4 linked regions of the Pelodiscus sinensis genome follow. The protein of the gene in region 1 interacts with the protein of each later gene in a pairwise test. Links are inferred from orthologs where the notes say so. Each region holds a gene or a part of one and is shown in the gene's direction. Other genes may lie near its edges. The genes, in order: NTAQ1, CBY2, ASL and EDARADD.

Region 1 (7,277 bases):
CTCCAACTCAGAAAGTATTCATAGTGGAGTAGTCTACATCCCCATAGAAACAGGAGGCAGCCCAGATCTTTATTCAGAGCCCAGGTTTAGGACTACTCCCCAGGAAGAACATTTTAGAATAGAGGTGGACAATAATTTTTGAAGGAGGGCCATTTCACAAATTTCTGAAATGGTTACAGGCCAGGAGACTTCACATGCCCCCATGCCCACAGACCCTGATCCCTTTAAAACACTTAACTCCCAAAAGTTCCTTTTGGCACAGATCTCATACTTACTCTGCTGGGCAAAGTTTAAAATTTAGGTCTGTTAAAATTTAAATTATGCAACTATGAAGCTTTATGACTACTGTGAAATTAACTGAAAAACATGTTGTTTTGCATTTCAGAAGTGACATGTACATACATACACCTTCAGTTGGAATGTCACGTAGACCAGAAATGTCCAGACTGTCATTTAGTAGTTAAATAGATTTGAACATTTGACTTTCATATACGAATTATTTTCCTACAAAGTTGAAGTTATAGAGTGGCATTCCCCATGGTTTTACTGTGGATATGGAAACATTTAATGGATTCCAGAGGAGTTAACAGAGGGACAGATCTGTGTGGAGCATTTTGACCTGGTTTAACTTTCTAACCAAACGACTTTCATTGCTCCTTTCTAGCACTCTACAATTTTATGCTTCAGCAGGTTCCATCATCGTGTAAAGACATGATCTGCCCTCACTGATTTGTTTAAAGTGTTAACTGAACTCTAATGACTGCAGTTAACAAAATTTTAAGCTTTATTATGTGTTAATCTGCACAATCCACCTCGGTAATATTTCATCGTTGTAGCCTTGGCCTCAGCTTTTAAAAAGATGAGTTATCTCCTGAGGTAACATTAACTATCCTGAAATCAAACAAAACAGTGGCCGCAAGGAGATAAACAGAGCCAACCACAGTAAGAGAGTTATGACCTCACCAAGTTACATCAGAAAGAGTGTAAAGCGCTGTCTCACCTATGTTACTTATCCCCGCACTTAAAGCCACACAATTTTAACCCTAAGGGCCAGGCTCTGACCCTTAAACAGTAGGTGAGCAGGAGGCTCTGGAGCCAGCCCTTGGGGAGCGACCACAGCTTCGCGGTTACTCCGGTTACCAAAAGCCAGAAGGAGCCAGGGGCAGAGACAACCCCAGAATAAGGAAGACGAGTTCGACGTGCCACCACAAGCTCCCTCAGCCCTCACTCTGGCTGGCTCCCTACTCCGCCCAGCACCAGGGGGTGGAGTTTAGCAGGCCACGCCTCTATTTTTTTGCAGGCGGGGTGGGGTCACCCCTCTCGCCCGCGGCCAGGAGAGCTCAGCTCCCCCTCCCCCACCTAGTGCGCACTGGCAGCGCCCCTCACCACGGAGGCCAGTGCGGCGGTGGGGTTCTCGTGCGCTCCAGGCGGCATCCGCCTCGATCTGCACAGCCAGGCTGCCCTGTACTCACGTTGCCCGCTGCTGACGGCGCTCTCCTGGCTCCTCTGCCGCACTTGCTGCCGGAGGCGGCTGTGGCCGAGCGGGTGCCCATCCTGCGGCTCCGCGGCGCGGGGGTCAAGGACAGGAACTCGGCACTCGAGTCCATCAGGTCGTACAGGGACGCCTGGCTGCCCCGGGACGCGGCAGACTGGAGCGGACTGCCGCTGCCCGTGCTGCTCCGTAGCATCACCATGGCCGGAGCTGGCGCGTCCCCGGCTGAAGAAGGGGGCGGCGGCTTCTCTCCGAATTCTGGCGCCACAAACCGCGGGCTGCCGCGTCACCGCCCTCCCGTCGTATCCCTCCGCCTCTACCTCTCATTAGAGCAGAGTAGCGCCACTAGTGAAATACGGCACCCGCTCTTACACTCCTTCGTTGACTTTTCGGCCAGCCCGAGGCGGACCGTTCCGTCCGGTTGTCTCTTAGGACTCTTTCTCCCTGTAGGTTAGTTCCCGAAGGGAGGCGGAGAGACACGCATAGGTGATGCGTCCTTTTGGAATTTTTGGCGCGTGCAAAGTTGGAAGACTGTTTTACCCGGCTCTGATTGGCTACAAGAAAGGCGCTCAGCAGCCCGCCCCAGTGTTTCCCGCTGAAATGGGACTGAGTCAAATGCCCGTCCCTTAAAGGGACACTGCCCGTGTTTCAGACAGCTGTTCCTCAATCACAGAGCAAGAGCCCGGCGTGGGGCAGCTGCAGTCCTTACAAGAGCCTACGGTAAAGGACCTGGCTTTTGTGTGATCTGCTAGGACCTGTGACATCTGCAGTCCAACTTTTTAATATTTGTAGCAACAAGCTCTTTTTTTAAAAAAACAAGGACCTAAAGTTAGACTCCCATTCCACTTTTTAACACCTGGATTATGGTTTGATTTTTAAAAATAGTGGACACCCCAAAACTCGTATTGGGGGAGGTTTGGGCATTGATTTAGTAAGCAGCCCATCTGTAAATTCCTTATTTTAGAAAATATTGATCTTTGGCTATCCTAGGCCCATCTTGGGGACATAACTCTAGTAGCTAGCATATTCCATCACAGGAGTGCAATAATCACATTTTGACTCCAAAATAAACTGTTTAAGCAAAGTCCTGCCCCCACTTCCTCTATTTTGCTTCCCACTGCCAGTGCAATAAGCCAAATAGAAGTTTAGAATATTAAGATTTCATTCTCTCAAAAAGTTTAAAATCATGCAAAGTTTAGCACACTTCAATAAAAAGTAAGTTGTGTGCTACAAAGCTCATAGCCAAACAGCCAAAATGCTGATGTGATCTCAGTCATAAAAAATTGAGAACTTGCTGTAGTTTTGATGTGACACCATTTTACAGAAGTGTCACGGCCTGGAAATAAATTAAGAAATGTTTTGTGGTGCTAGGGGAAAAAATGTCAAACTTTCTACACAGTCCCTCCTGAAGGTAGTCCTGCCCATTGCCAAACTATGGGGTAAGACATAATAGCTACTAGACAAATGTACAGCACTTTTGCACAACAACGAATACAGCTTTTTAATATCAAAAGTATTTTACATTATTAAACCTCCTGACTTTGTGTGGTGCTACCTGTAAAAACACTGTATAAAAGTATGCTGTTTTGTGTGTTGTATGGCCAGGAGATTAAAGTCCCTTGTGCAGCCACTGGTTTTGCCAGGGTATGCAAGTTTCCACAGGTTTTCAGGACTTTAAATGGGCTTGATCTCTTTCCACTAATTTAACAAAAAGACAACTAGAAATGGATATATTGAACTTGAAATAGCTTTAGTCTGTAAAGTGCTACTAGACTATTTCTTGATTTTTAAGTCTTTCCTGTTACAGACTAACTTGGCTATCTCTCTAAAGCCGTGGTCCCCACCATGGCGCCCGCGGGGGCATTCGTGTGCGCCCGCCACGTGCTCGGGGCTGGCCTGGCCCTGGGCACGTGGTGCACGCACAGTGCCGGAGCCGGCTCCAGGCGCATGGTGAGCGCCGGCCCCAGGGGGCGGGGATGGGGGGTGAGCGCCGGCCCCGGGGGGCGGGGATGGGGGGTGAGCGCCGGCCCCGGGCGCTTGGGGGGGGGGAGGAGGGAGCGCCGGCCCCGGGCGCGCGGCGCTTGGAGGGGGGGCGCTGGCCCCGGCCCCGGGCGCTTGGAGGGGGGCGGCGCCGGCCCCGGGCACACGGAGCTTGGGGGGGAGGGGGCTCCGGCCTCGGGCGCATGGCTATGGGGGGACCCCGCCCCCATCCCCGCCCCCTGGCGCCCAGCGGGCGAACTGCCACGCCCCCTGGCGCCCGGCAACCTCCACAGGTTGGGGACCACTGCTCTAAAGCTTATCTACTCACTGTCACATTTTTTCTGCCCCTCCTTTTTTTTCTTCTCCTCCCCCCTCCCTTATTTATTCTTGGATATGAATTTCCAACACTCTGGTCATCTGAAGAAGTGGGTTGTGCCCACAAAAGCGACATCTACATGTACCATCTACATATTTTCTTAGTCTTTAAGGTGCTACTGAACTATTTGTTGTTTTTTAAGGTTTTCCTGTTACAAACTCTGCTACCCCTCTGAAGCTTTTGAAATAGCTGTTTGGCCTTGTACATTTAAGACAAAAAATACTTCTCTGGGGATGTTTTCTATGCACTTTGAGAACAGGTTTCCTTTTCATCCCCAGCATTTTCCTGTGGCTCATGTTCAGCCTTTCCCTCACTAACAGGTGCAGATTTAATTAATCTTCCCTTTTCATCAGCTAGCCCAGCCCAGCCCTGCCCTCTTGTCAAGGCTTGTTCTGGTCTCTCCCTCCCTTCCATTGTAAGTTCAGGATCTCACCTCCCCACTCAAACCCCCTCTCCTTTGTTTTGGCAGCCTCTGGATCATCTCATTAAGCTAAAACGTCCCTTTTGCTCATCCTGACTCAAATTTTGCAACCTATTCTGGGTTAAAAAATTCCCTTTTCCCACCCTTCTGATTCAACTTGACCCCTTCTCTCCTGCCTTTGATGTAACATGGTGGGGTTTAATAGAGCAATTAGAAACTTATCTTGTTTCGTATCCAAGATAAAACCCCTCCCTCCTGCCTGCCTGAGCTCCTAGTCATAGGAAAGCACTAACATCCGGATTTCCTTGGGGGAAGAAATTGCTTGTAACTCACTAACTTCCGGCATAAACACTTCCTGAGCGAGCCGGTGCTTTATACAGCTGGGGGAGGTGTATGAGCCTATTAGCCTATTAAACCCAGCACTCCCATATCTCTGGATGAGGGTCGCATATGGAACAGACAGAAGTAGGAGCTGCAGGTTACCAGCCAGCTGTCCCTGCTCGGCATGCTTGTGTGTATACCAGCTGCTATTGGTAAGTAGTAATAGGTATGTAAGAAATGTGGCTGGGTAAATCTTCTTTTTCATTAGTCAAGGAATTAATGCACAAAGAGTGGATGTACTGAAAGTCATTGTTTTCCATTGGAATCTCCCATATTTCCATTTTTCTTTAGAAAACTTGTACATACTCTTGCAGGAGGCAAAGCAGAAGAAAATGAGGTCATAACAGCCTGGAGATAGAATATTATTTTTCTTATGATAGCATTTGATATTCTAGGAAAAAAGGATGCATTGGTTAGGACACTCATAGTACTGGTTAACCAAGATGATTGGAGGATGATTTACTGACAAATAACAATATACAAGATCATTGTATGGCTTTCTGAATAGCTTATCAGAACATAATTTATGGTTCCATTAATAATTTGTGCATCCTGTCCTATTATCAGTGACAGTTTATTTAGAATTGTGCAAAACTATTAATAGTAGTATTAAATGTTATATACACGATTATTACTTTAGAATTGTGCTAAACTATTATATATATATATATATATATAAAATTAATATGTCACTAAGATCAGATGGAAGTCTATTTAAAATTTTATATTTGTCAAGTTGTTTCATACACTTGATGACATGTATCTTTCCAGGTAAAATGTTTATTTAACCTAATTTGTTGACACTTTAATCAAAACTACTTTGCCACAAACAGTAAGGAAAAGACAAAACACTAACTATACCAATCATTTGGTATTAAAGCATGTCATGACAGAGTAAACCAAGCTATGCTTCTTGCTGTCTAATAGTAGAGCCAAAAAAACCTATGAATTATTTGTGTAAAACCTTTTTAAAGGCTTGAACCTACATTTTAGAGCTTAAAAATACATGTGTGAAAGGAGCTGGGAAAAAGTCTTCAACAGAAAAATGAATCCAAAAGTGGGAAAGTTATAACAGCCATGCTGTTTTTATTGTATAAATCAGAAATAAAACAAGAACTGGGGACAAAAAAAACCTTGTATTTTTACAGTGAGGAAAATGTTTGGAAACTTTGTGAATACATCAGAAGCTATGATCAATATCCTTTAGAAGAATTTTTTGCTGTTTTCATATCCAATGAAAGAAGGATGGTAAGTTGATAAGTTGCCTTATTGAATCAAAACCGATTTACTGTGAATGAAAGATGGATCCAGGCTAGGTTTGCCATGTGTCCAGTTTTGAGCTTTCTGTCTAGGAAACAAATTGAGAAAATACCGGACATATAAATGTCTGGTATTTTCTAATTAAGTAAGTTTTATTATTATCATGAGTAACAATACATAGTTGCATACTGCCTGGCTCGTAGACACACTCACACTGTGTGAGTGTGTCTATTGGCCAGGCAGTATGCAACTACACAGTAGAGAGGAGGTGGGTGGTGCCAGGTTGGGATGGAATCCCTAGGGCCGGACTTACCTGTGCACCCTGCCAAGACCGTGTGCGGGACGGGCAGCACCCCGGGATCTCCGTGCACCCGGGCCAGCCCCGCTTCCCGCTGGCCGGTTTCCCCTTCTCTCCCTCCTGGTCAGCCCTGCTTCCTGTAACTGGTCCCTCATCCCCAATGTGAGATCATGTATGTCCGGTATTTTTCTGAAACACTCTGGTAACCCTAATCCAGGCACAAATGTGGCCAGACCCCTGTAGCTCACCTGGGCCCCCTGGTCACACAGATATTGAAAAGAACCTAAAAGGCACGTCTTTTAGTCATGTATGGTAGTCTGTCCCTTGGGGTGGACATCTGGAGAAGTATCACCTCCCTGAGAATGGGATAGCAGGGATTCCTTTATTACTATCAGTCAGCGGAGGAGACTGAATGGTCTGTGTGATCCAAAACAATGCCCAAAGTTTAAGCTCAAAAGTTAAAAAACAATCTGATAAAAGCTTACGTGTTGCATCACAGATAAACACTAATTTTATCATCTCATATTAGACAAATTGTAGATTTTTTTTTTTAAAGCTTACTTAACATTAGCTTCTAACTGGTAATTTGCAGATACCACTGTGGAAGCAACAATCAGGACGTGGAGATGAACCTGTGATTTGGGTAAGACATTCTGGTCTATATAGATTCTTGTACCATGTTTAATTGTTCTAGTACTACCAACATGTTAAGCAATAAAAATAATCAGACTTCACCAACCTGTTAGAATTCTTTGAAGGTGTCAGCAAATGAGGGTGATCCAGTGTATGTAGTGTACCAGAACCTTCAGAAAGTCTTTGACAAGGTCCTTCACCAAAATCTCTTAAGCAGGGATGCTGAAAGCTTCTGAGGGCCTCTGGGCAAGGGGGGTGAGAGCAGTGGCTGTGCACTCTGGGAAGGGATGGGTCTTGGACAGAAGGGGTGGGGCTTGAGAAGCCAGCTCTCAGTGCCCCCCTCCTCTGCCTTCAGAGCCACCTGGCGTGCCAATTTAAAGGGAATTACTGAGCCCAGGGCAACAACTCCCTTTGCCTGCTCTTAAGCAAAGTAAGG
Region 2 (7,558 bases), on another chromosome or scaffold:
TAGATGTGTTAGTTTGAATTAGCTTAGTTCGAATTAACGTTGTAGTGTAGACGTACCCCCCTTCTTAATCTCTCTGCCAGTGTTAAGATCTCCATTTCACCAGGCTATTCCTCCTCAGTGTGGCAGAGGCTTTAAGAACAGACCTGGTTGTAACAGGGCCTTCATGGGACACCACTGAGAACACCAAATTCCAGTCATACTGCAGAAATAAAGCCAATACACCTCAAAATGTTAGTGGGCATTGTGCCAGAAAATATATCAAAGCAACTGCAAAGAGGGAAATTTCTGTTTCACCACACTGGCTAACAAGATGTCATAAAAGCAGTTCCTGAAGTATTCCTAGCTTTGTTTCACACCCCGAAACACTGAATTCAGAGATGAGTGGTTCTGTGCAACCAGCCTCATCAAAGAAAAGGTTCTTCTGAGCCTCTCTAAGGACCAGCCACACACCCAAGTTAATATACAATTCACATCTTACCCCAAAATTACACTGTGGCTAATCCTGTAGAAAGAAAGCATAGAATCAAATGAAATAAAATCTTAAATGATCCAACTTGTAACATAGAATCTGTATGGGTAGTAATTCCATGCTCAGATCATTTGAATATAGCAGTAAGGACATATTGCTGACCACCTGATTAGCATGGTGATAGTGACTGTGAAATGCTTAAGAAGATTGGAGAATCTATAAAAACAAAATACTCAGTAATAATGGAGGATTTCAATGTCCCCTTATTGACTGGGTACAGGTCACCTCAGGACAGGATGTAGAGACAGTTTCTTGACATCTTAAATGACTGTTTGTTAGAGTAGCTAGTCCTGGAACCCACAAGAGGAAAGACAACTCTTGATTTATTCCTAAGTGGATCATAGGATCTAGTCCAAGAGGTGAATATAGCTAGACTGCTTGGTAAAAATAGCGACCATAATTTACTTACATTGAACATCCTTGTGGTGAGGAAAACACTCCAGCAACCCGACACTGTACATTTTAATGTCAGAAAGGGGGCTAGATAAAAATGAGGAAGTTAGTAGAATAGAAATTAAAAGGTACGGTGCCAAAAGTGAAATCTCAGCAAGAAGCATGGAAACTTTTAAAAGATATCATAATAGAAACCCAACTTAAATATATACCCAAATTAAAAATTGTAGTATGATAACCAAAAAAATACTACCAGGGCTAAATTAAAGAAAGTAAAAGAAACAGTGAGAGATAAAAATGCATTCTTTAAAAAATGGAAGTTAAATCTTAGTGAGAGAAATAGAAAGGAACATAAACTCAGGCAAATGAAGTGTAGGAATATAAATAAATAGGAAGGCCAAAAAAGAATTTGAAGAACAGCTAGTCAAAGACTCAAAAAGTAATACAAAAAAAATTGTTAAGTACATCAGAAGCAGGAAGCCTGCTAAACAACCAGTGGAACCACTGGACAATCGAGATGATAACAGAGCACTCAAGCATGATAAAAATCATTACAGAGAAACTACATGAATTATTTGCATTGGTTTTCATAACTGAGGGTGTGAGAGAGATTTCCAAACCTGAGCCATTCCTTTTAGGTGGCAAATCTGAGGAACTGTTCCTTTAGAAAGGATTTTGGAACAAACTGATAAAATAACAGTAATAAGTCATCAGAACCAGATGATATTCACTCAAGAGTTCTAGAGGAACTCAAATATGAAATTGCAGAATTACTCACTGTGGTTTGTAACCTATCCTTTAAATCAGCTTCTGTGCCAAATGACAGGAGGATCACTACAGAGGTGATCCCAGCAATTAGAGTCCGATAAGTCTGACTTCAATACTGGGCAAACCAGTTGAAACTATAGTACAGAACAAAATTATCAGCTATATAGATGCACTTAATTTATACTTGGTAGGGAAAATTCAATATGTTTTTTGTAAAGGAAAATCATGCCTCACCAAGCTATTAGAATTCTTTCAGGGGCTCAACAAGCATGTGGATAAAGGGGATCCAGTGGATATAGTGTTCTTAGATTTTCAGAAAGCCTTTGACGAGGTCCCTCACCAAAGGCTCTTAAGCAGAATAGCTGCCATGGGACAAAAGGGAAGGTCCTTTCACAACAGCCTTCCAAGAAGAGCAATAGGGACAAAAAACCTTGTTTCAAAACTGAGCTTGATAAGTAGGGCTGTGAAGTGATTTAAAAAAATAGCTACAATTTTTTCAAGGCTAAATTCCAATAACATTGATGTACTTCAAGTCTGCAGTACCTTTTACACACTACACAAGCTTTCACCTCCAGTTCATATGCTACACATAACCCAGTGACAGCAAATGAAGCTTGCCAGCCATGGAAGAATATGCTTACAGAGTTTCAGAATGGGTACAAGCCCATGGATCAAAGTACAACAGCTTAACCAGTGCTATTGAAAAATGGGTAACTATGAACTACAGAGCACTTACCATGGAAAATGACTGAGGTCTAAGAGGTACTATCCAAATTGCATCTGCTAATTCGACATACCCTTGCCTTCTCCAGGAAACATTGAACCATGAATGTATGATCTATGTCACAATGAGAAGAGTACAAAGTTGGAGCTTCTGAAAAATGTACTAGCTGTTGCTTTGACTGGTGATCACTGGGCATCCTTGAGCAATCACAGCTCTCTTGGAATCCTAGCACACCTGGTTGATACTACCTGGACAGTGCAGCCATTTGCTTTAACAGTAACGCATTCTGAAGAGAAACATTATGCTGAAACATTCATAGGGCATTTTTTGGATGTTGTGAAAGGATGGGATATTCAAGAAAAGGTAACAACAATTAGTACTAACAGCGTGATCAAAACTGTAATTCATCTTGATTAATTTTTTAAATTGTGATTAATTTGTTTTGTGTTAATTGCTGACAGCCCTAATTTGTACACTGCTATCCCAATTCACTTGTGTCCTTTTCAGAGCAGAAGGAATTCCTTGATATCCCCTGTAACTCCTTCTGATCAATCAGTGTGCCAGGAACATAGACAAAATAGGCTACAAATACCTTGCTGTACCTCCCCCCAATTAACCAATTCTGGAGCTGATAAAAAGCCCTTTGAAGTGTGTTTTAGTTTTTCTATTGACTTAAGATCAGGTATGCTCAAGTCTTAAATTCTAGAGTAGCATATAGAAAGGTGATTCATTCACACCAGGTTGTATAGTTAGGAATAAAGGCAGGAAAATATGCAGAAAAATTAAGAAAAGAAAAACATAAAACACAACAAAACTTTAACCCTAGCAGTAATTATGAATTCAAAAGAATCAGGTTTTTCTCTTTTGATCAGTACTTGTTACTGGATTGTTCTTATCTTCACTAACTTTGGCTCTAGTATGAGCCCTAACGCTTTTCTGCTTTAGTATATTGTACACCCTTGATTCTCCAGGCATTGAGAAGGATCACCCAATTCAACGGTCATCTTTCCTAAAGCTCCCTACAACCAGTAAGTAAACTTCAACCACCCCCTTCTGTCAAAGGACAAACTCTCTTCAAGAAACTGATTTTCCTGCTCTTCACTGTAGAATACTTGAATAAGAAAGTAAACAGAATGCTCTTCAGGAAGTTGCCATAGTGATTAGTGATGCTTTAGTGTTGTCTGAGATTAAATAGAAATGGGAAGAAATTACAGTGAGAATTTGTATGCCAAAGTTTATCATCCTTCCATAATTCAAAAATTGCTGAACTGTTTACCTACAATTTTTCTAAAACATGAACAACCACATTAGGGCTAAGGCCAAGTTTTCACTTGGAAAGAAATTAACTGTAGTGTTTGCGACTTAGGAACACTCAAATTAGAAAACACTTAATTCTACTTTTAAAGATGCAGCAAATAAGAAATAATAAGAGAGAATTAAAAATGGAAAGATGTGGAAGTGCAAATAACTGCTTTGGATAATGGCATTGGGTGTAATGCCCAGATACTCTCAGCAGTCTATTTTCTTGTTAACAAGAATTGACAATGTCCTAGTTCTTTTAATTTGGAGTCAAAGAAAAACACCAACCTCAAAGTTAATTCTGGAAAATTACTCCAGGCCTCGTACTGGATAAAAGGGAGGTGTTTTGTTACCTTTAGTGTCAATTCAGTAGTGGTCTTAGTCTGAATATCGGGGATGGAGCAAATCATGTTCTATAAAAAGAAAGTACAGTACTGGGAAAATAATTCATTTTAACTGCCCCTAAGATCATACATGAGGAGAGAAGGCAAAAGAAGAACGTGGTTTGGGAAGGAGCTTGAGAATTCTCTACTTGATTTGTTATAAGGAAAAAGAAGTAACTTCTATTCACATGTGACTTAGGGATCTGAAAAAACCCCAGATAGTCTTCAGAGATTATAGTGGGAACAGTGGAGGCTAAGTCATGAGAATATAATAATAGGAAACCTTTGATGAGAAACACTTGAGAGCCTACTGAAGTTTAACAGGCCTGGGGAGCAGATGCCTTTCATTTACATCAATTACACTGTTACTCTGGATGTACTTAGATACTGTCTATGTCATAAAGGGGCTTTCTTGTTACATGCCTCAGTTTGAAAAGCATGGTCCTGTCTCTGGCCATGCTGAAAATCAGTTTTGAGCAGGGAGAGATCGAGGCAGCTTCTGGCATTTGGCCTCAGCATTGGATACACTACAGTTATAAACCAGCTGAGAGTTTGGAGAAGATAAAGACAAAAGAAACAGGACATCACTAGAATTATATTTTAAACAGAGGTGAGCAGATGTACCCACTATTACTGTAGAATACTAGTCAACTTGATTTTTAGCTAGCTTTGCTCATGTAATTGTAGCCCCAAACTGCATAAGGACTGTTTAATACAGATCTGAAAGAAAATGATAACTGAGATTAAGAGAAATTAAAAGGCTTCTGCAAGGGAGAAAAGATGGGTATGGTTCACCACTTGACATTATTCAGGTTTTACATTGATGTAATACCATGGAAATCAGTGTAAAACTGGAGTAACCCAGTAATAATTCAATCCCATGTTAAATGAGATTTGAAAAGAGATGGAGAATCAGTGAGACAGAGAGACACAGAGATAATAGCAGTAAATTTGACACGGACATTTAGTATATACAGAAGATTCATAGATTCTTAGATCCCAAAGCCAGAATGGACAACTGTAATAATCTAAGATGCCCGCCAGTATAACTCAGGCCATGGAATTTTCCCTAGATAATTCCTGGAATAGATCTTTTAGAAAAATATCCAATCTTGATTTAAAAAGCATCAGCAATGGGGAATCCACTCTGATCTTTGGTAATGTGTTTATGCTACGCTATCGAAAATTAGTCAGAATTCAACCCCCTATCTTTCCTCTGATATTGAGATCATCTTATTAAATGATCCATTAGACAAAAAGCCAAGACTCAACTCTTAGCTGATACACACAAGGGGTCAAATAAGAAAGCTGAGGCCTATACAAAATTAAGAAAAAGAAATAATGTATAGAAATGAAACATGCATTAGTCACAGATTTAGAATCAAGCATTTATTAGAAAAAAGATTAAACAACCTTAGAAGTCAAAGAAATTCCTGTAATTTATGTGGTAACTGTTGATAGTCTTAGTGAAGGAGAAACCTATGGGGGGAAAAGGAGATAAAAGAGATTATGTGAAAGATGCTAAATTATTGGAATCTTTTCATTCCCAGATATCATCACAAGCACTTGACTATATTGCTTCAGTTAACAGTAATGTAAAGTCTAGTAGAATTATGTTAGAATTAGCTGAGGAAAAGGTTTTAAAGCCTACAATAATATCTGGCCCTAAAAAGGGTTTAACTTACCCTAGACATAAATAAAAATTATGAAAGGTTGTGCTGAGAATTTGCTTGCAATAGCCAGACATTACTAATCCCACAGCTCCGGCTTGACCACAGTGATGCTCTGGGCTCATTCTCAAAAGACAAGCTTGTTCTGCTGCTGACAGAGGCAATTATTCTGATCTCAGTTCCCACTGGAAGCAGCAATACAGACCACTGAAAAGTTAAAAATGAGCATGTTTTCTTTTTCTTGAGTGCAAAGAGAACTCAGTGTGCTACGTGTGATTTTTAGAACTTTCTGGAAAAGGCCAACATTTTTAAACATTTTGGATGTTTAAAATTAGGTTCCTAAATCCACATGCTGGCACCTAAATATAGGTGATCCATGTTTTCAGAGGTGCTGAGCAGCCCAAGCACTCACTGTGTGCAGTGGCATTTGTGAGAGCAGAACAATTCTGAAAACGAGGCCATTTATATTAAGATGCCTATGTAGGGTTTTACCCATTTCTAGACTCCCACTTTTGAAAATCTTGACAACGTTCTTTGTGAAATCTGTATCATTCAGAGCTCTACTGTGAAATGAAAGGAAAAGTAATGTGGTGAAGAAACCTTAAGCTGGGCAGAATGAGTTCTTGCTACAGATATAAAATCACACTTTATTGACATAAACCTACACTGTGACTTACAAACTTATAATGAGAGATGTTCCCTGCTCTAAAGGGCTCATAAGATAAGACAGAGTTCATCAAGAGGAGGTACACAGGATCTGGAGAGTAGAAGAAGATGAGGTTTACTAGTGAATTTTGAAGGTGCCATGAGAGGGACTGCTTGGATTGGCAGTAGAAGAGACAACCTTTTATAAGATGCAAAGGAGAGACTGAGAGAAGGAGAGGAAAGGAGAAAGACTAAGCAGACTGGGAGGAATGCACCAACAGAGGAGCTTCAGGAGAAAATGAGGATAGAGGTGTTGGATGAATCTGTATTGTACATAAAAAAGCTAGTAGATATAGGTTGTTTTAGTTTAGCTAATGTCTGTAAAATCATTTTCATCCAACATATCCATTCAATCGAAGGCTTATCACAGAATAGACTTTGGAAAATAGATTTATTTGCTGGTTTCTTGTCCAATTGAGTTTAGTTCTGTCTTTGAACTTCATAACTAATCCTATTTATTTGTGTTCCCTATTCCAGCAGTTCTGAGTGAGTGTCTCTGCAGACCCCTCACTAGCTACTCATCACCAAGAACAGCAATTGCCTGCATAACTTCTGAAGAGAGTCTTTTCACACAGACTTCTTCACTTTGCTAAGTCATCCCCACATTTGCTTTTGATCCAATGAATCACTTTATGCATCAGGCAGAGCCTGACATGGATTATATTGCCCCTCGTGTCAAGCTAAGTGACGAGACATTTGTCTTTGTAGATGGCAAATGGGTGAGTGAGACCTACAATCAGCCACCCTTTGCTTACCAACAGAAACATTTCAGCAAGAAGATGCAGAAAGACTGGACTCTCTGGGAGGAGAACAAAGCACTCTGGGAGGAGAACAAGGCCCTTCGGATTGAAAACAAAGCCCTCCGGGAGGAGAACAAAGCTCTCCAGTGCCTACGGACACAGAACAAAGCCATCCAGGTTATTTATGATGACACCCTCCAGCAGGTTCTCCAGAAGGAGCACAATCCTTTCCCAGTCTTCCAAGAAAGGAACATAGGCTTCCAAGAGAACAAGGCCCTTCAGGTTGTTCAGGAAAAGAATATGGCTTTACAGATACTCCACAAGGAGAACAAAGCTGTCCCAGTCTT
Region 3 (7,959 bases), on another chromosome or scaffold:
GATCCCTTATCCCTTATTTCATAGAGGGATAAGGGATCTTTCGGAAAAGGCTTTATTTTCCGCAAGATCAGGGTCTAGACTGGCGCTTTTTTCCGACAAACCTCCGTGCGGAAAAAAAGCGGCAGCCATTTTTATGCTAATGTAGTGGGGGAGATTTAAATCCCCGCTGCATTAGCAATTGCGATATGTCTAATTTACATCCCTTTTATGAAAAAGGGATGTAGTCTAGACGTAGCCTATAGGTACATCTACAGAGCAGCATTATTTCGGAATAACAAAATACACGTGTATTCACCAAGCTATTATTTTGAAATAATGTTAAGATGGAGGATTTCTTACTCCAACTCCTGTAACCCTCATTTTACAAGGAATAAGGAAAGTCGAAGTAAGAGTGTTCTTCCTTCGACTTCCTGTTGTGTAGACTGCAGCAAAGCCAAATTAAACTATTTCAACTTCAGTTACGCGATTGACATGGCTGAAGTTGGGTATCTTAATTTGACTTTTGCTCTGCTGTGTAGACATACCTTACGAGAAAAAACATTCGTCAGCCAAAAAGCTATAGTCAAGAAATAGTAAATTTGTGACCTGAATGTACAAAAGCAAGGGCAGTTAAGGTTCAAATGTCTAGAATGTTGGTGCAATGAAATGCAGTGAAATAATGTTAAATGTGTCCATGCTGCTGGATGGACTGCCTGTGTATCTGATATATAAGTTTAGAAAAGGGTGTAGCACAAAACCATCAATAAAGGGTCATGCTCCACTCTCTATCCCCAGTGAAGGATACAGAGTGCAATGCTCAGACACTGCCATTCCATCAGGACCAAAGAAGTACCTTCCATTTAATTCAATTAATTTTCTCATATTTAATTATTTTAAATCATAGGATCATCGACCTTGAGAGGTCATCATGTCCAGTCCCCTGCACTCACAGAAGGACCAAGGTACCATTTAGATCGTCCCTAACAGATGTCTGTCTAACCTGCTCTTAAATATCTCCAATGATGGAGATTCCACAACCCTCATAGGTAATTTATTCCAGTTTTTAACCACCCTGACAGTTAGGAAGTTTTCCCTAAATGTTTCAGTGTCGTTGGAACAAGTAAAAGAGTGAAAGCATAAAATGTAAGTGAAAGAAACTACAAAACAGCATGAAAAATAACAATTCTTAGTGACTGATCATCCCCGTTTTGCGGTTCTATTTCTCCACTGCCCCCTGCAGTCTCTACTCCTTAGCTCAAAGGCACTCTTAGGAATCCTTGCTCATTGCCTGTCCCAATCTCCACGACATCTGTTTTGACCTCCAATTTCCTTTTTGTTTTCTGAAGTTTCCTTGTTTATCACTATGAAAAGGGCTATTATTCAGCTGTCCCATCCAGGAAAAGTAGGACAGAGGATTAATCACATCCTAGAGACATCCTATATGAATGTAATAAACTAGAAAAAAACATCACTGCTAGTGGCACCAGGACCCCAGTGATGGATGCATGGAAATACCTGTGAGCATGAGATAAATAAAGGATTATTTTTTATCATTCACCAAAGGCACTTTACTTGCAAAACTAGATCACCTGGGTTTTGTGCTAGGGCATGTAAGTGGGAAAAAAACATAAAATAAATTCAGATAAAATGCATATGGTGACTAACAACAATTTGGCGTCAATCCTGACCCAATAGATGTCCATGGAGTTTTAATATTGACTTAAATGGGAGCAGGTCCAGTCCCTTGATAACTCATGGAAAATAAATTTTATATATATATATATATATAGTATTAAATCAATAGATAACCAGTATCTGGTTCCCATATGAGGGGAATGAGCACCAGTCCATCTTTCACTTTGGGAAAGTCCTTCCCCACATCTTAATTTTGCAGAGAGACACTATCCTTACAAGGATTGTGTACATTCTACATAACTGGTCTTGGGGTTGTGCAACAGGTATGGACACACAAATATGTCTTCTTTACACACTTCATCTTGGTTATAAGCAAATCGTGTACTGGCTGTTTTGCAAACACAACAGCAACCCCTCATTCCCAAACTCAACATAAGGAAAATACCTCCCTAAAGTGAGAACAGGAGGAGAGGAGAGGGGGAAAGGAGAGAATTGGGAAAAGGGAATAAATAGTGGGATGGAGACAAGAGGGGATGAATGGAAGGAGAGGCTAGACAACAGGAAAGGACCAATAAAGAAAACAGAGAGATCCCAAATATTCAGAGGGGAAATGAAAAGAAAAAAGAACAAAATCACAAGAAAAGAGATGAGAAAAAATAATCTGCTGGGAATTTGATGACAGATTTCCCTAAAGATTAGTTTATGCTATTTCTAGAGTCATTTCAAAGTCTTTACAATGTAATGAGCAGGGCTCGACAAATCCACTTGCCCATGGTGAGTAGATTTTGGCAGCTGGTGAGCTGTGACGGGGCGACCCCCATGCTGCACGGGGAGTACGGTGTTGTGACAGCAGTCTGCGCCGCTTGCTCCCGTATGGCCGCCCAGCTGAGCGGCATGCAGCGGGGGTTGAGTCCTGGGATGGGAGCTGGAAGCAGGGGCGTGGCCGCACGCGGGCGTAGGGTGGGGCCAGAGTGTGGGTGTGTCCCTGACGTCAGGGGGAGAGGTGCCGGCACAAGAGAGCGCCGCATTCAAAAGGAGAGCAGCGGAGGAAGGCAGAGGGGATGGAGGAGAGTAACGGAGGAAGAGGGGAGAACAAAGGAGTGAGCTAGAAGATGGTGGTGGACGGAGTGAAGGGTGAGAGCGGAGGGGACGGGAGTCAGAGGAGGTCAGAGAAGGCAGGAGGGAGACGGGGAGTGGAGCAGAGAGCAGAGCGTGGGAGCAGAGGACGTGAAAGGAGAAATGGAGGTAGGAAGCAGCCCAGGATGGGGCTCCTTAGTGTCTCCGCTCTGGGCTGCTTCCTTCCACCACTTCTCCTTTCATGTCCTCTGCCTCCACGCTCTGCTCTCTGCTCCACTCCCTGCTGTCTCTACACTGGGCCACTTATTCCGGAAAATCAGCCGCTTTTCTGGAATAAGCTGCGAGGTGTCTACACTGGCCCTTGAATTTCCGGAAAAGCAACGATGCTCTACTGTACAAAATCAGCCGCTATTCCGGAAAAACTATTCTGCTCCCGCTCGGGCAGAAGTCCTTATTCCGGAACACTGTTCCGGAAAAGGGCCAGTGTAGACAGCCCCGTAGTCTTTTCCGGAAAAGCGCGTCTACATTGGCCACAGATGCTTTTCCGGAAAAAGGGCTTTCCTTTTCCGGAAAAACTGAAAACGGAATAGTATTCCGTTTTAAGCAGTTCCGGAAATTCATGCCAGTGTAGACACAGCCCATCTCACTCCTCTGACCTCCTCCGACTCCCATCCCCCTCCTCTCTCCTCTGCTCTTACCCTTCACTCCTCCACCCACCGCCGTCTTCTAGCTCACTCCTCTGTTCGCCCCTCTCCCTCCGTTACTCTCCTCCGTCGCCTCCCTCCTGCTCTCCTCTGCCCTCCTTTCGAATGTGGTGCTTTCTTGCGCCGGCGCCTCTCCCCCTGACGTCGACGCACGCACACTCTGGCCCCGCCCTAAGCCCGCGTGCGACCCCGCCCCTGCTTCCAGCTCCCGTCCCAGGACTCGGCCCCCCTGCATGCCGCTCAGCTGGGCGGCAGCACGGGAGCAAGCAGCGCAGACAGCTGTCAGAACGCCGCGCTCCCCGTGCAGCACGGGGGTCGGTGCCGTTGAAGTGCAGGGTGGGTCGTCCTCACCACTGTGGAGCGGCCCCGCCTCATCACAGAAGCAAACATGCTGTCCTGGTCGTCCCATTCTCTGGGTGGTGCACGTCTGCGCGGTGGGGGTGGCGAGTCCCTTTTTTTTCTGGCGAGTAGGGTTTTCTATAATTTGTCAAGCTCTGGTAATGAGATATTACATTGTGATGTAACTAATGTACATCATAAAAAAGTCTCAAATAGCTGATTGAATGAAACAGAAAACAAAAGAAACAGAATGAAAAAAGAGAAACATTTGTCTGGAGAAGGAAGGAGGAGAAAGCAGTCTCTTGGCTGGTGCATTATTTAATATTTAGAACCATGTAACAGATCTTTTGTGGGGAGGAGTTCCTTGAAAATGTACTTCAAAGAAAAATGTAAAAGTTAGCATCCAGGACCCTGCTGCATTTTTACAGAGGTACATGCCAGCAACAGTACTGGTGTTTCAGCATCCAAGTACTGCTAGGTTATGCCTCAGTCCTCCTAAAAGTCTAAAGGCTAAAAAGAGCCACTCATCAAGAATAATGCTAGGCAAACAGAGAATTGGGACCTTGACATTATCCCTGCAATATCCCCAGCAACTGGAATTAATGAGATTGTGAACACACCGCTGGAAAAGACCTATTAGATCCCATATCAGTCCTGCTTGTCAGGCCAGTAGACAGGAGCGGGTAGTTGTGGATTGATCTCTACCAATAGGTACAGAATGTAATGCAATTTGCAGGGATATATCTCCAGCTCGTGCAATGGTTAATGCAGAAACATTTTAAATATGCTAAATAATGAGCTGAGAGCCCAAACGCCTGTCACTGAAAGAAGCAGGGGCACTGCGCCCTGTTGGGTCCAGGACAGCGAGGAGACAAGGGCAACATGAGAGAGGCAAGATTTCCAGCCACACGCTGAAAAGCCCGTCTCTCTGGCAAGCAGGAAAAGATTCCTCGCCCACCTGGCACTGGGGAAGACCCCAGAGAACCCCGCGCTTGCCCCCAGCAGGAATCACGAGCCTTACAAGTCACACGGTGCGCGGGAGGGACACAACGAGGGAGTCTCTCCCCGCCCCATGGAGCAGCCTCCCTACAAACGGGCCGGGCCGGGGGGGCCGCTCGGAGCACCCAGCTGCAGGCCTCCGTGATGCAGCCGGTGGAGCAGCGGCCAGGAAGCAGGGCGGGCGGAGCGGGGAGGGAACCTCCGGGGTATTTCCAGGCGAGGCGGGTTCAGCCCCGCCCAGGGGAGGCGTGGAGCGGCCGGCGGCGTGAAAAGCAGCCGGGGCGAGCGGAGCGGGGGCGAGCGGCCAGGCAGGTGAGCAGCGCGGGGCTCGCCCGGTGCAGAGCGCGCGCCGCGCCCTGGGGCTGCAGCTGCCTCGCGCGCTGTGCGGGGCCCCCCAGCAGCGCGGGGTGTTCCCCCGAGGGGCCCAACCCGCCTCTTTCTGTCTTGCAGGGGGCGCGCGCCGCTGAGGTGCCGAGAGCCCGTCCGACATGGCATCCGAGGTGAGCAGCCCGCACTGTGGCGTCCCCCGCAGAGACCAGGGCGGACCCTCCCCAGGCAGAAACATCCAGCTGGAGGGAGCTGGAGTCAAAAACCTTGCAGCCCTCCATGTAGTGGGGTGGGGGGGGGTTTCTTCCCATAGCAAGACTCCTGTAGGGAGGTGGGCGCTGCCCTCCTGGGTATGGCTCTTTGGGCACCCGCTGGTAGAGTCGCTTGCCCAAGATGCCCCTCTGGGCACCTGCTGCCCCGTCCAGGCATGTCTCTGTTAGCAAATCACACCGGCTCCCGCAGCGGCAAGTGCTTTCCACGTTCAAAAATTGCCCACAAGGGCTTCTTGGCCTTATCTGCCATTGTGCGTAATTGCTATCCTGATCTGAAAAGCAGCCCTACCTGTCAGAATGTGCTAGACTTGCTTCTTCCATCCTTGGCCCAATGTAAGAAAGGGGTAAGACAGTGAATTTTGACTAGGGGAGAAGCCCGTATAAAATCTATTATGAAATTCTGTGCTCTTTAAAAGATAGATGAGGAAAACTGTTTGCACATTCATAGCTAGACTTTTTTTTAAATTGCTTGCAATAGGGATTTGGTTACTTCAAGGCTGTGTCTAGACTGGCCAGTTTTTCCGGAAAAACTTGCCAGCTGTCTACACTGGCCGCTTGAATTTCTGCAAAAGCACTGACTTCCTACTGTAAGAAATCAGTGCTTCTTGCGGAAATACTATTCTGCTCCCGTTCAGGCAAAAGTTCCTTTTGCGCAAAGCTTTTGCGCAAAAGGGCCACTGTAGACAGCTCAGATTCGTTTTCCGCAAAAAAGCCCTGATCGCAAAAATGGCGATCAGGGCTTTTTTTGCGGAAAAGTGCGTCTAGATTGGCATGGACGCTTTTCCGCAAAAAGTGCTTTTGCGGAAAAGCGTCCGTGCCAATCTAGACACTCTGTTCCAAAAATGCTTTTAACAGAAAACTTTTCCATTAAAAGCATTTCCGGAAAATCATGCCAATCTGGACGCAGCCCAATTGTCTTGTTTTATGGCTGAATATATATAACTAGAACTTGAAACAAAACATGTAGATATCATTCCCCTTCACTTGTCCTTAGTACAAAATTTAATGAGGAAAAATTGTGTCTACTCCAAAGGTTTTCTAAGATCAGGTTGTGTAATTGTCTTGGTTTGATGGACAAAATGCCATTCGTTTGAGCCAGGAGCAGAAAGCAGTGTGATGGCAAAATCTAGGTCAAGATGTGGGCCTCATACGGCCCACAGCCTGTTTTTGTGGCCTGGGATGCGGTTTGGCTTTATGCAGGGCTCAACATGCGGCTTGAGGGTGGGATCCTTTGAACTTGGTCTCCACTGAGACACAGTCCACAACGGCAAGGTGTCTCCTAGGCAGAGTGAGCATTGAAAGATGCAAGTGGACGGGCTAGCTGGAACAGATGGGTACAAGGTGTTGAAGTTTCTAGCCCCCAGGGAGGTGGTGTCTGGAGCACCAGGGCATTGTGTGAAAAACTATTTGCATGTACAGGCAGTCCCCGGGTTACATGGATCCGACTTACATCGGATCCCTACTTACAAACAGGGTAAGGCAACCCCGCACTAGCTGCATCCCCCCAGCAGACCAGGGAGACGCGGAGCGGCTTTTCTCAGCAGACACCTCAGCTTGAGAATAAAGGACTGAGGGAAGTGAGGTGTGGGAGAATAAAACTGAGCTCTGGAGAAATGTTTGGCTAGAGTTTCCCCTACAATATGTACCAGTTCCGACTTACATACAGATTCAACTTAAGAACAAACCTACAGTCCCTATCTTGTACGTAACCCGGGGACTGCCTGTATATGCAACCAGACTTAAGCTGCGGCCTTGCCCTTGTCATATGCTGTGACTATCATTGTGGCCCCCAGGGCTTCCAAAGTTGAGTAGCCCTGATCTGGGTGGTAGTGAAGCTGAAGTGGTGCAGAATTTGGCTGACAAAATTTAGAATTAAAAATGATTGTATGAAAATAATGTTTTAAAAATCTCCAACTATAGGCCCTATTTCTATCATCCTTACAAGGCAAAACTCCCTGGGACTTTACTGGGTGTTTTGCCTCCATAGGGACTGCACAATGTTTGTGCATCAGGGATTGGTAGATATGTGGAGACAGTCCTTGGGGAAAGACTTGCTCAATAATGACCCCACTAGCTGATAAAATAATGGCACTGATTAACTTGAAACTGGGACCCCATCCAGTCTGCTGCCAGAGAAGATGGCTGTGATGCTTGAAAGGAAGCAAAAGGGGTATGAGAAATAAATTAGATGGGCAAAAGTATCAATTTAACACCATAAACTCTACTACAGGCACTTCGTATAAATGCTTCCGAATCACTCCTCTTGAGTGCGAATAGCTGCTTTGGAAAATTATTTTTTTAATTGTTAGGACACACCATGGAGTTTTTACGCAAGCAGCAGACCAGACCCCCTCTTTGACGTCAGTGGGAGTTTTGCCTATGTAAGGATTTCAGGAATGCGTTTCATGGGATCAAATGATATGTTGCTATTTGCTGATGAAGCAATGCTGTTTGTGCAAATGCATGGTGAAATAGGTCACACACGGGTTCATTCATTTGAGTGAACTGAAGTTCACTTCAGAAGGGTGCCCAGAAAGACTAGTGTAATGCCATGCTCCAATGTTAAATTTATTAATGCAATGGATTTACACCAGGGTAAATTTTGACCCATTTGACTCACCTGTAAA
Region 4 (7,067 bases), on another chromosome or scaffold:
TGATTAGATGGTTCCTCAGTTTCTTTGAGAGCGTGTGGCACAATTTCTCATTGTAGTTTGTGTAGTATGTTGATTGTAATGGATTGTTCACTTTCAAGCCAAAATTCATCTACTTGCACTTGGAAAAGAAGATGATGTCTGTTTGAATCTATGCAGGTTTCTTCATGAAACTGATGGGTTTCCACTTCGTGCAGTGTCTTGAATGGTAAAAAGTCTAAAAGGGGTATCTGTGTTTGTAACTTTAAAAACAACAAGCAATCCTGTGGTACCTCAGAGACTAACAAAAATATATAGTATCATGAGCTTTCATGGGTAAAACCCTTTTCATCAGATGATTATGAAGCAGAAATTACACCGATAACTTACCACTGTAAATAACTTTATTTGAGGGATCAGGGAATATATTTAGATCGTACAGTGTGGTGTAATATATTTATTACAGTTCCTATCTGCAGTGTTATATTGTTTTATGTGCCGGAATATACAGGCAGTCCCCAGGTTACATGGATCCGACTTACATCGGATCCCTACTTACAAATGGGGTGAGGCAACCCCGCACTAGCTGCTTCCCCACAGCAGACCAGGGAGACGCGAAGCTAGTGCCCCCCCCCCAGCAGACCAGGGAGACGCGGAGCGGCTTTTCTCAGTAGACACCTCAGCTTGAGAATAAAGGACTGAGGGAAGTGAGGTGTGGGAGAATAAAACTGAGCTCTGGAGAAATGTTTGGCTAGAGTTTCCCCTACAATATGTACCAGTTCTGACTTACATACAAATTCAACTTAAGAACAAACCTACAGTCCCTATCTTGTATGTAACCCGGGGACTGCCTGTATATCATACTAGCACAGTTACCTAGCATTGCTCGGGTACTCTAGGAGAGGCTCAGGTCCGGGGCTGTGTGTGGGGTGTGAGGAGCAGGAGTGAAAGCAGGGGAGGGCTCGGTGCAGGGCTGGGGGTTACAGGAGTCAGGTGAGGGATTGGGGGGGCCTTGCTACACAGCTGCCATCTCCCCAAAGCTGGCCAGTGGGTGCACTGGCTGGACAAAGACTCCATGGGGCTGGCAGAGCCTGCAGTGTCCAGCTGGATTCTCCCCTAGGGTTGCCAGATACTTTCAGAAAAAATCCTGAACATTGCGGGGGAAAGATTGGTTGAGCGGGAAAACCAAACCAAACCAAACCAAACCAAACCAAACCAAACCAAACCAAACCAAAAAAGACCACTGGGGGACCAAACTTTGAGGGGGAAAAAGAAAAAAAAAAAAAAAAAAAAAGGACCTGTCAGACACAGCAGGGGAAAAATGTCCCTGCTGGCCTTTCTTCCGAGAAAAACAGAAAATACCTGTATTTTCTGTTTTGTTTTTTCACCAGACAGAAGATGCAATTACCGGACTATCCAGGCAAAAACCGGACACTTGGCAACCCTAGTCTCCCCAAGGCTGGCCTGGGCAGTGGAAGCCACCAGGTGCCACCCCCAGCTGGTCACTTTGCTCCTGCTCCCTTTCCATTTGATTAGAAACAGTCGAATTCCAGGCATACCCCATCGTCCTGACCATAGGCGTGCACAGCACATTTCATTAGGGTGTGCACCCAAAGAATTTTTTAAAAAATGTACTTTGACCCCCCCCCCCATTAGCCACACCCCTGACCCCTGTTAACCACGCCCCTGACCCCCATTAGCCACGCCTCTGGAGGTAACCCTCTCCGGGCAAGATGGGCACATGACCAAAAGTAAAAAGTGTTATGTGACTCCTCCCCCCCCCCACAAGGACTTTTCCCACCATCCTCCTACCAATAGGGATTAGTTTGGCCCCCCAATCCTCCCCTATGCAACTATCCTGCAATTGCATTAACCCAATGTGTGTGACATTAATACAGAGGTGGAGAGGCTGGGGGAAGTGTTCTCTCTAAGAATTTCCTCCCATGAGCAGAATGAATTTTGTGTTGTGCACCAGTACTGAGTTCCTGTGGCTTGTTTGGATGTGCCATTGTGGCACCCAAGTTATTAATAAATATCGTATAAACCTCTACCTTTTCCCTCTGCTGCCATGTCTCCTCCCCTTGCTCCATCAACTCCACTGGTGCCTGCTCCCCCCACAACCCCTCACCCTCCTCTGCTGTCCTGACTCCTGCCCTTCTCACTGCCCTCAGCCTTCCTGAGACCTGCCTCTCTCCACTAGCCCTTCTCTCCCCCCTATGCCCACTATTCCAGTAGCCCCACTCTGATCATGTGAGCTACCCCTCCTCATCCCCTCTCCTAACAACTCCCTCTACACACCTGCCCTGCCTCTCTCCTCTGGTGCTGGTCCCTCCCCTGCAGATGTCTGCCCTTCTGCTTCACCCCCAGAATTCCCTGGCACCTGAACCTTCCTTTACTCCTGCGCCCTCCTGGTGACTCCCCCTTCCCTCACTGCCCCTGCCCCCTTTGCCCTTTTTTCCTGATGCCCATCCCCTCACCACCATCTGCCCCATTCCCCTCATGCCCCTGTGCCCTCACATATGACTTGCTCCAACCCCACCTTCCTCATGCCCTCCCCTTCTGTCAAGCCTTCTCCCAGCACCTCCCCCTCCAATCCCCAATGCCCTTACCCTCTCCTCTTCCAGAATCACCCTGTACCCCCTTCCACTGACACCTCCCCTCCTGCCCTTTTCCTCATTGTCTCCACTTCCCCCTAGCATTTGTGTCTCCTCTACCCTGTCCCTTTGGTGCCTTCCCCTTTCTTCCCCCTCTCCACCCCCTCCGTACAAGCCCCTTCCACCTCTTCCCCTTTCTTCCTCCTCCACCCTCCCCCACCACAAAAGCCCCTTCCTCTCCCACCCCTCTCTCTTATTCCCTCCCCCTCCGCCTTACCTTCAGCTTTTGCCTTACAGCTTGCAGGGCTGGAGTCAGAGCCAGCCCAAGCTGCAGGGCCGGGGTGGGGCACCCCTGGGGTGCTGCGTGGTGCAGCAGGGCTGGGTGCTGCCGGGATGGGCGCCATGTGGTGCTGCCGGGATGGGCGGGGGCACCCCCAGAGCGCAGCATGGTGCTGTAGGGCGGGGGCTGGGCTGCAAAAATAGCTCAGGCCACCATCTGTAGTCGGGCCCCAGCTGCTTTTGGAGCTGGGCCACTGGGTTTTAAAGTTCCCAGCGTTTCCCCTCTCACCTGTTGCACGGCGTTTGAGGACGCCACGTATGCGCTCTCTCTGCTCCACAGTGCCCACTTAGATGGCTGTGGGGAATTTAAAGTGAGGAGCTGTGGCGCTTCGTCACAAATCCCCCTCTTCCTCCAGTAGCTGCTGGCTGGTCCCAGACATTAGGGTGTGCCTGGGCACACCCCGTGCACACGCCTATGGTCCTGACACAACCAAACCTCACCCTTGCTTTAAGTTAAGATAAAAGGAAGCTGCTTACCAAATTTGGTGGTCTTGCCATGTAGGAGGAGTTTTTGAACAAACAGAATCACAGATGGACACACAGAGAGACGCACATTTGGAAAATAGATAGTCAAATTAACGCAGATACATTATGCTTTTTAAAAAAAGCAACTATACATTTATTCATTATCTTCACATAACCGAGAAAAATGAGTTGGAATATTAAATGCTCACATGTATTTTTTATACACACACATATGTCCGTTTTTATAACATGCATACTTTTGTACACAGAGACTCTCTCTCTCTCTCACACACACACACACACACACACACACACACTTACTTCTCCTGAATCTAATTTTGATATGTATACATCTAAAGAAAACCCAACTATCTATAGGGGAGAACGAACATTGTCGCTCATTATAGAGGAAGAGCAAACTCATGCACCTGAAAATCAAATAAAATCCGCATGGGTTTAGATGAAGGCTGAATGAGAGTTGGTGGCAGGGGAAAAGCCTCTCCAAGGGACGGCCCAGAACCGGGGGCAGGGGAGACACCGCTCTCTCTCTCTCTCTCTCTCTCTCTCTTTCACACTCCTCTGCTAGCTTTCAGCCTCAGCTCTACCTGCAGCTTCCGCTCCCCAGGGAGAGAGCCGCGACTTGCTCAACACCCAACCAGGAAGTGGAGAAGAAAGAGGGAGGCAGTAGCGCCCGCTCGGATTTAGGGTGGGGGTTGCCCGGCCGGCCTAGAGGGGATTTTCCAGCTCCACACACACGCTCAGCCTCAGTCTTCGCTGGGCACGGCTGCAGTCTCCCCTCGGCACCCACCCGATGGCTTCTCTCCAGGACCCTCTGCCTGCAGGTAAAGTGCCCCGAGCGGCGGCTGGGAGTCTGGGGGCGTGTGCGCGCCGCCAGGGCGGAGAGGCAGCTCTGTGCAGCCGGGGCAGGGCTGGAGGAGAAGGAGGGAATCTGGAGTCTGTGGGGAGCTGCGGGAGGGCGGCTAGGCTGGTCAGAGCCTCCTGACCCTGCTCAGGGCCGGGCGGCTTTTCTGTCTCTCTTGAGATGCGAGTGGAGAGGGGGCTCTGCGTCTGGCCCTGTGTGTTTGCTTCGTGCGCCTGGCTGGGTTCTCTGCGCACAGCTGATCGGTGCGAGGGGCTCTCCCCACCACTCTGGGGATGGGATCAGTGCTCGCAGATTTTCTCCCGAAGGAAACTAAACCATCTTGTTCGTCTTCAAAGTGCTACATTGTCCTGCATTTTGCTTCAGCTACCCCAGACTAACACGGCTACATTTCTATCACTATTTGCCTATTAAAACTCTCAAGCTAGACAAATAGTAATAGGGAGGGAGCCGTGTTAGTCTGATCTTGCTAAAACAAAAGGAAAAACTATGTAGCACTTTAAAGACGAACAAGATGGTTTAATAGGTGATGAGCTTTCCTGGGCCAGACCCACGGAAGCTCATCGCCTATTAAACCATCTTGTTAGTCTTTAAACTGTTACATAGTTTGTCTAGCTTAAACAAAAGGAAAAACTAAGCTCAGCAAGCAGCCTTGTTTTTGAGGTAGGCTGCCCCAAGCCCTCCTCCTCTCCCAGCACTGTGCATGAAGGAGAGCTTTGGAAGAATATTAAAAATCATTCTTTGCATTTGCATAGTCTCTGAGGACCTGAAGGTGTTTGGTGATTCATATGCTCAGACAAGAATAAATTAAACCTGGCAGCACCCCTGAAAGGTACAACACAGGCTGGCTGTTACAAAGAGGTCCAAAAAGTTGTCTGCCTCAGGGAACTTTTGCAGATTCTAGATCTTGCAGTATTAACATTTTAAACTATATTATCAGTTTTCTGGGAGTTAACCAAGGACTCCTGGCCTTGTCTGGACAAGAAGGGCTGGGAGTCGTCCCCCCCCCCCCCCCAATTGTGCTAGCTAACAGTTTAGCTTGTTCTGAGCTGGTGGAATTTAGCATATGCTGAAATACACCTTGTCTGTTCTAGAGTTATAATATAGACTAGTTTGTGCTAGCTAATATGTGCTAACTCCCCCCCCCCCACACACACAAATCTGTTTTATTCTAGTCAAGGGGTTCTCAAACATCATTCACCACAACCACTTACTGACAAGAAAAACTACTTTAGGACCCCAGGAGGAGGGACTAAATCCTGAGCCTGCCTAAGCCTCACTGTCCCAGGTGAGGGGGCCAAAGCCTGAGCTCCACCATGAGGGTGGGGTGGGGTGAGGGGGAGCAAAGCAGAAGCTCAAGGGCTTCATCTCCAGGCAGGGGGGCTTGTAACTTGAGACCTGCTACCTAGGATTGAAAGCTTTTGGCTTTGGTCCTGGGCAGTGTGGGGCTTGGGATTTGGCCCTGGGTCCCAGCAAGTCTAAGCTAGTTCTAGAAACCCCAGTCAAAGGGGGTTGCAACCCATTTTGGGGTCCTGGCCTACAGTTTGAGAACCTCTGTCCTAGTCAAACCAAAGTTTGAGGAAGTGGTGAAGGTTAACATTTTCAAAGTTGATGAGCACTGACCTTTAAAATAGGCTGTTGAGTTTGACTATTTCAGCTTCAACAACTTCTGTCCAGTCAGTGGCAGAGTTTAAACCATTTGTAACAAACTGAGAGATGTACTACCAAAAGTAAACAGGTTAATCGAGAGGCAGAATATAATGCACTGTAGTATAATTGTACATAATGCTCCATTGTGTTTATTATGGTCTTTGCCTGATCACAGCCTCATTGTTGATTAGGGTAATATATCACCAGGCTTGTCTATTTGTACTAGTCTAATTACACTGAGATTGTTTCAGTGTAACTAAGTGGGGCTTACAACACCAGTGCAGTTTAATTTGATAATTATGCTAAGACAGTGTAACATTTACTACCTGCTAGTGTAGACATTGAAGTAGTGTAGGTGAACAAAACTTGAGCTCTCTCCAACACAGAGACCGTAGGATTTCAAGATACCAAAATTACACAAGCTATTGGGCTCAGTGCAGGAGTAACTTGGAGAAATTCTATAGTCTGTGTTATACAGAAGGTTAGACTAGATGATCTATAGGCCTTCCTTACCTTAATATCTTTGAAACTTTTAAAGTTATGGGGATTTCAGTGAAAAGTACTTGGAGATATGTCACTTCCTTTCCTCTCCTTTGACTCTTACTTCTCCAGCTGTGCAATATGACTCATACAGTATTTTGTGACCACACTAATTTTAATTGCTTAATTCGTTGTTAAATACTACAAGTTTAACAAAAAAAAATATTAGCAGGAAGAAAGGAAGGAGGTATGTTTTCAGATTATATTTAAAACTAAGGAGTCAGTGAGTCAGAAAGACATCATGGAACTGATTCTCTGGCTTAGTCTACACTACACTTCCCTCCTCCCTGCATTGATCTATCCTACACAACTTCAACTACACAAATAGCATAGCTGAAGTCAACGTACTTACCGCAGTGGCTTCTATGCGGTAAGGTCAGCATGGGGCTGCTCTCCTGTCGACTCCAGCTACTCTTCTCATCCTGGTGGAGACTCTAAGCAGATGCAATAAAGCTATTGCCATGACCATAACAGCACCCAATACATTCCTTATATTTCCAGCATGGGTGGTGTAGATTTCTATGCCAGTTCTACCAGCCAGAAAAACTCTCTGAGCAAAGCTGGGAGGCAGACAGAATTGCTGGACCCTTGGGCAGGGTGGGGCAGCTCTGCGCACCCAGAAG

What was found.
Region 2: the proteins of NTAQ1 (region 1) and CBY2 interact in binary tests that used the Homo sapiens proteins (3 or more experiments, as listed by UniProt). The two-hybrid records come from large-scale screens. The link is inferred for Pelodiscus sinensis from reciprocal best matches to the Homo sapiens genes NTAQ1 and CBY2.
Region 3: the proteins of NTAQ1 (region 1) and ASL interact in binary tests that used the Homo sapiens proteins (3 or more experiments, as listed by UniProt). The two-hybrid records come from large-scale screens. The link is inferred for Pelodiscus sinensis from reciprocal best matches to the Homo sapiens genes NTAQ1 and ASL.
Region 4: the proteins of NTAQ1 (region 1) and EDARADD interact in binary tests that used the Homo sapiens proteins (3 or more experiments, as listed by UniProt). The two-hybrid records come from large-scale screens. The link is inferred for Pelodiscus sinensis from reciprocal best matches to the Homo sapiens genes NTAQ1 and EDARADD.

Annotation. Positions count from the first base shown.
Region 1 is NC_134712.1:19,804,307-19,811,583, reverse strand, and holds the start of NTAQ1 (protein N-terminal glutamine amidohydrolase), read left to right. Parts: upstream 1-4,267; 5' UTR 4,268-4,719; coding exon 4,720-4,802; intron 4,803-5,798; coding exon 5,799-5,898; exon of another isoform or gene 5,899-5,998; intron 5,999-6,800; coding exon 6,801-6,851; intron 6,852-7,277. Other genes in the region: ATAD2 (ATPase family AAA domain-containing protein 2), read right to left, coding at 1,473-1,694. UniProt on the Homo sapiens protein: Mediates the side-chain deamidation of N-terminal glutamine residues to glutamate, an important step in N-end rule pathway of protein degradation.
Region 2 is NC_134711.1:287,239,111-287,246,668, forward strand, and holds the start of CBY2 (protein chibby homolog 2), read left to right. Parts: upstream 1-4,538; 5' UTR 4,539-4,706; intron 4,707-6,948; exon of another isoform or gene 6,949-6,951; 5' UTR 6,952-7,091; coding exon 7,092-7,558.
Region 3 is NC_134731.1:20,065,352-20,073,310, forward strand, and holds the start of ASL (argininosuccinate lyase), read left to right. Parts: upstream 1-4,958; 5' UTR 4,959-5,045; intron 5,046-5,183; 5' UTR 5,184-5,221; coding exon 5,222-5,233; intron 5,234-7,959.
Region 4 is NC_134713.1:127,271,706-127,278,772, forward strand, and holds the start of EDARADD (ectodysplasin-A receptor-associated adapter protein), read left to right. Parts: upstream 1-4,049; 5' UTR 4,050-4,185; coding exon 4,186-4,216; intron 4,217-7,067. UniProt on the Homo sapiens protein: Adapter protein that interacts with EDAR DEATH domain and couples the receptor to EDA signaling pathway during morphogenesis of ectodermal organs. Mediates the activation of NF-kappa-B.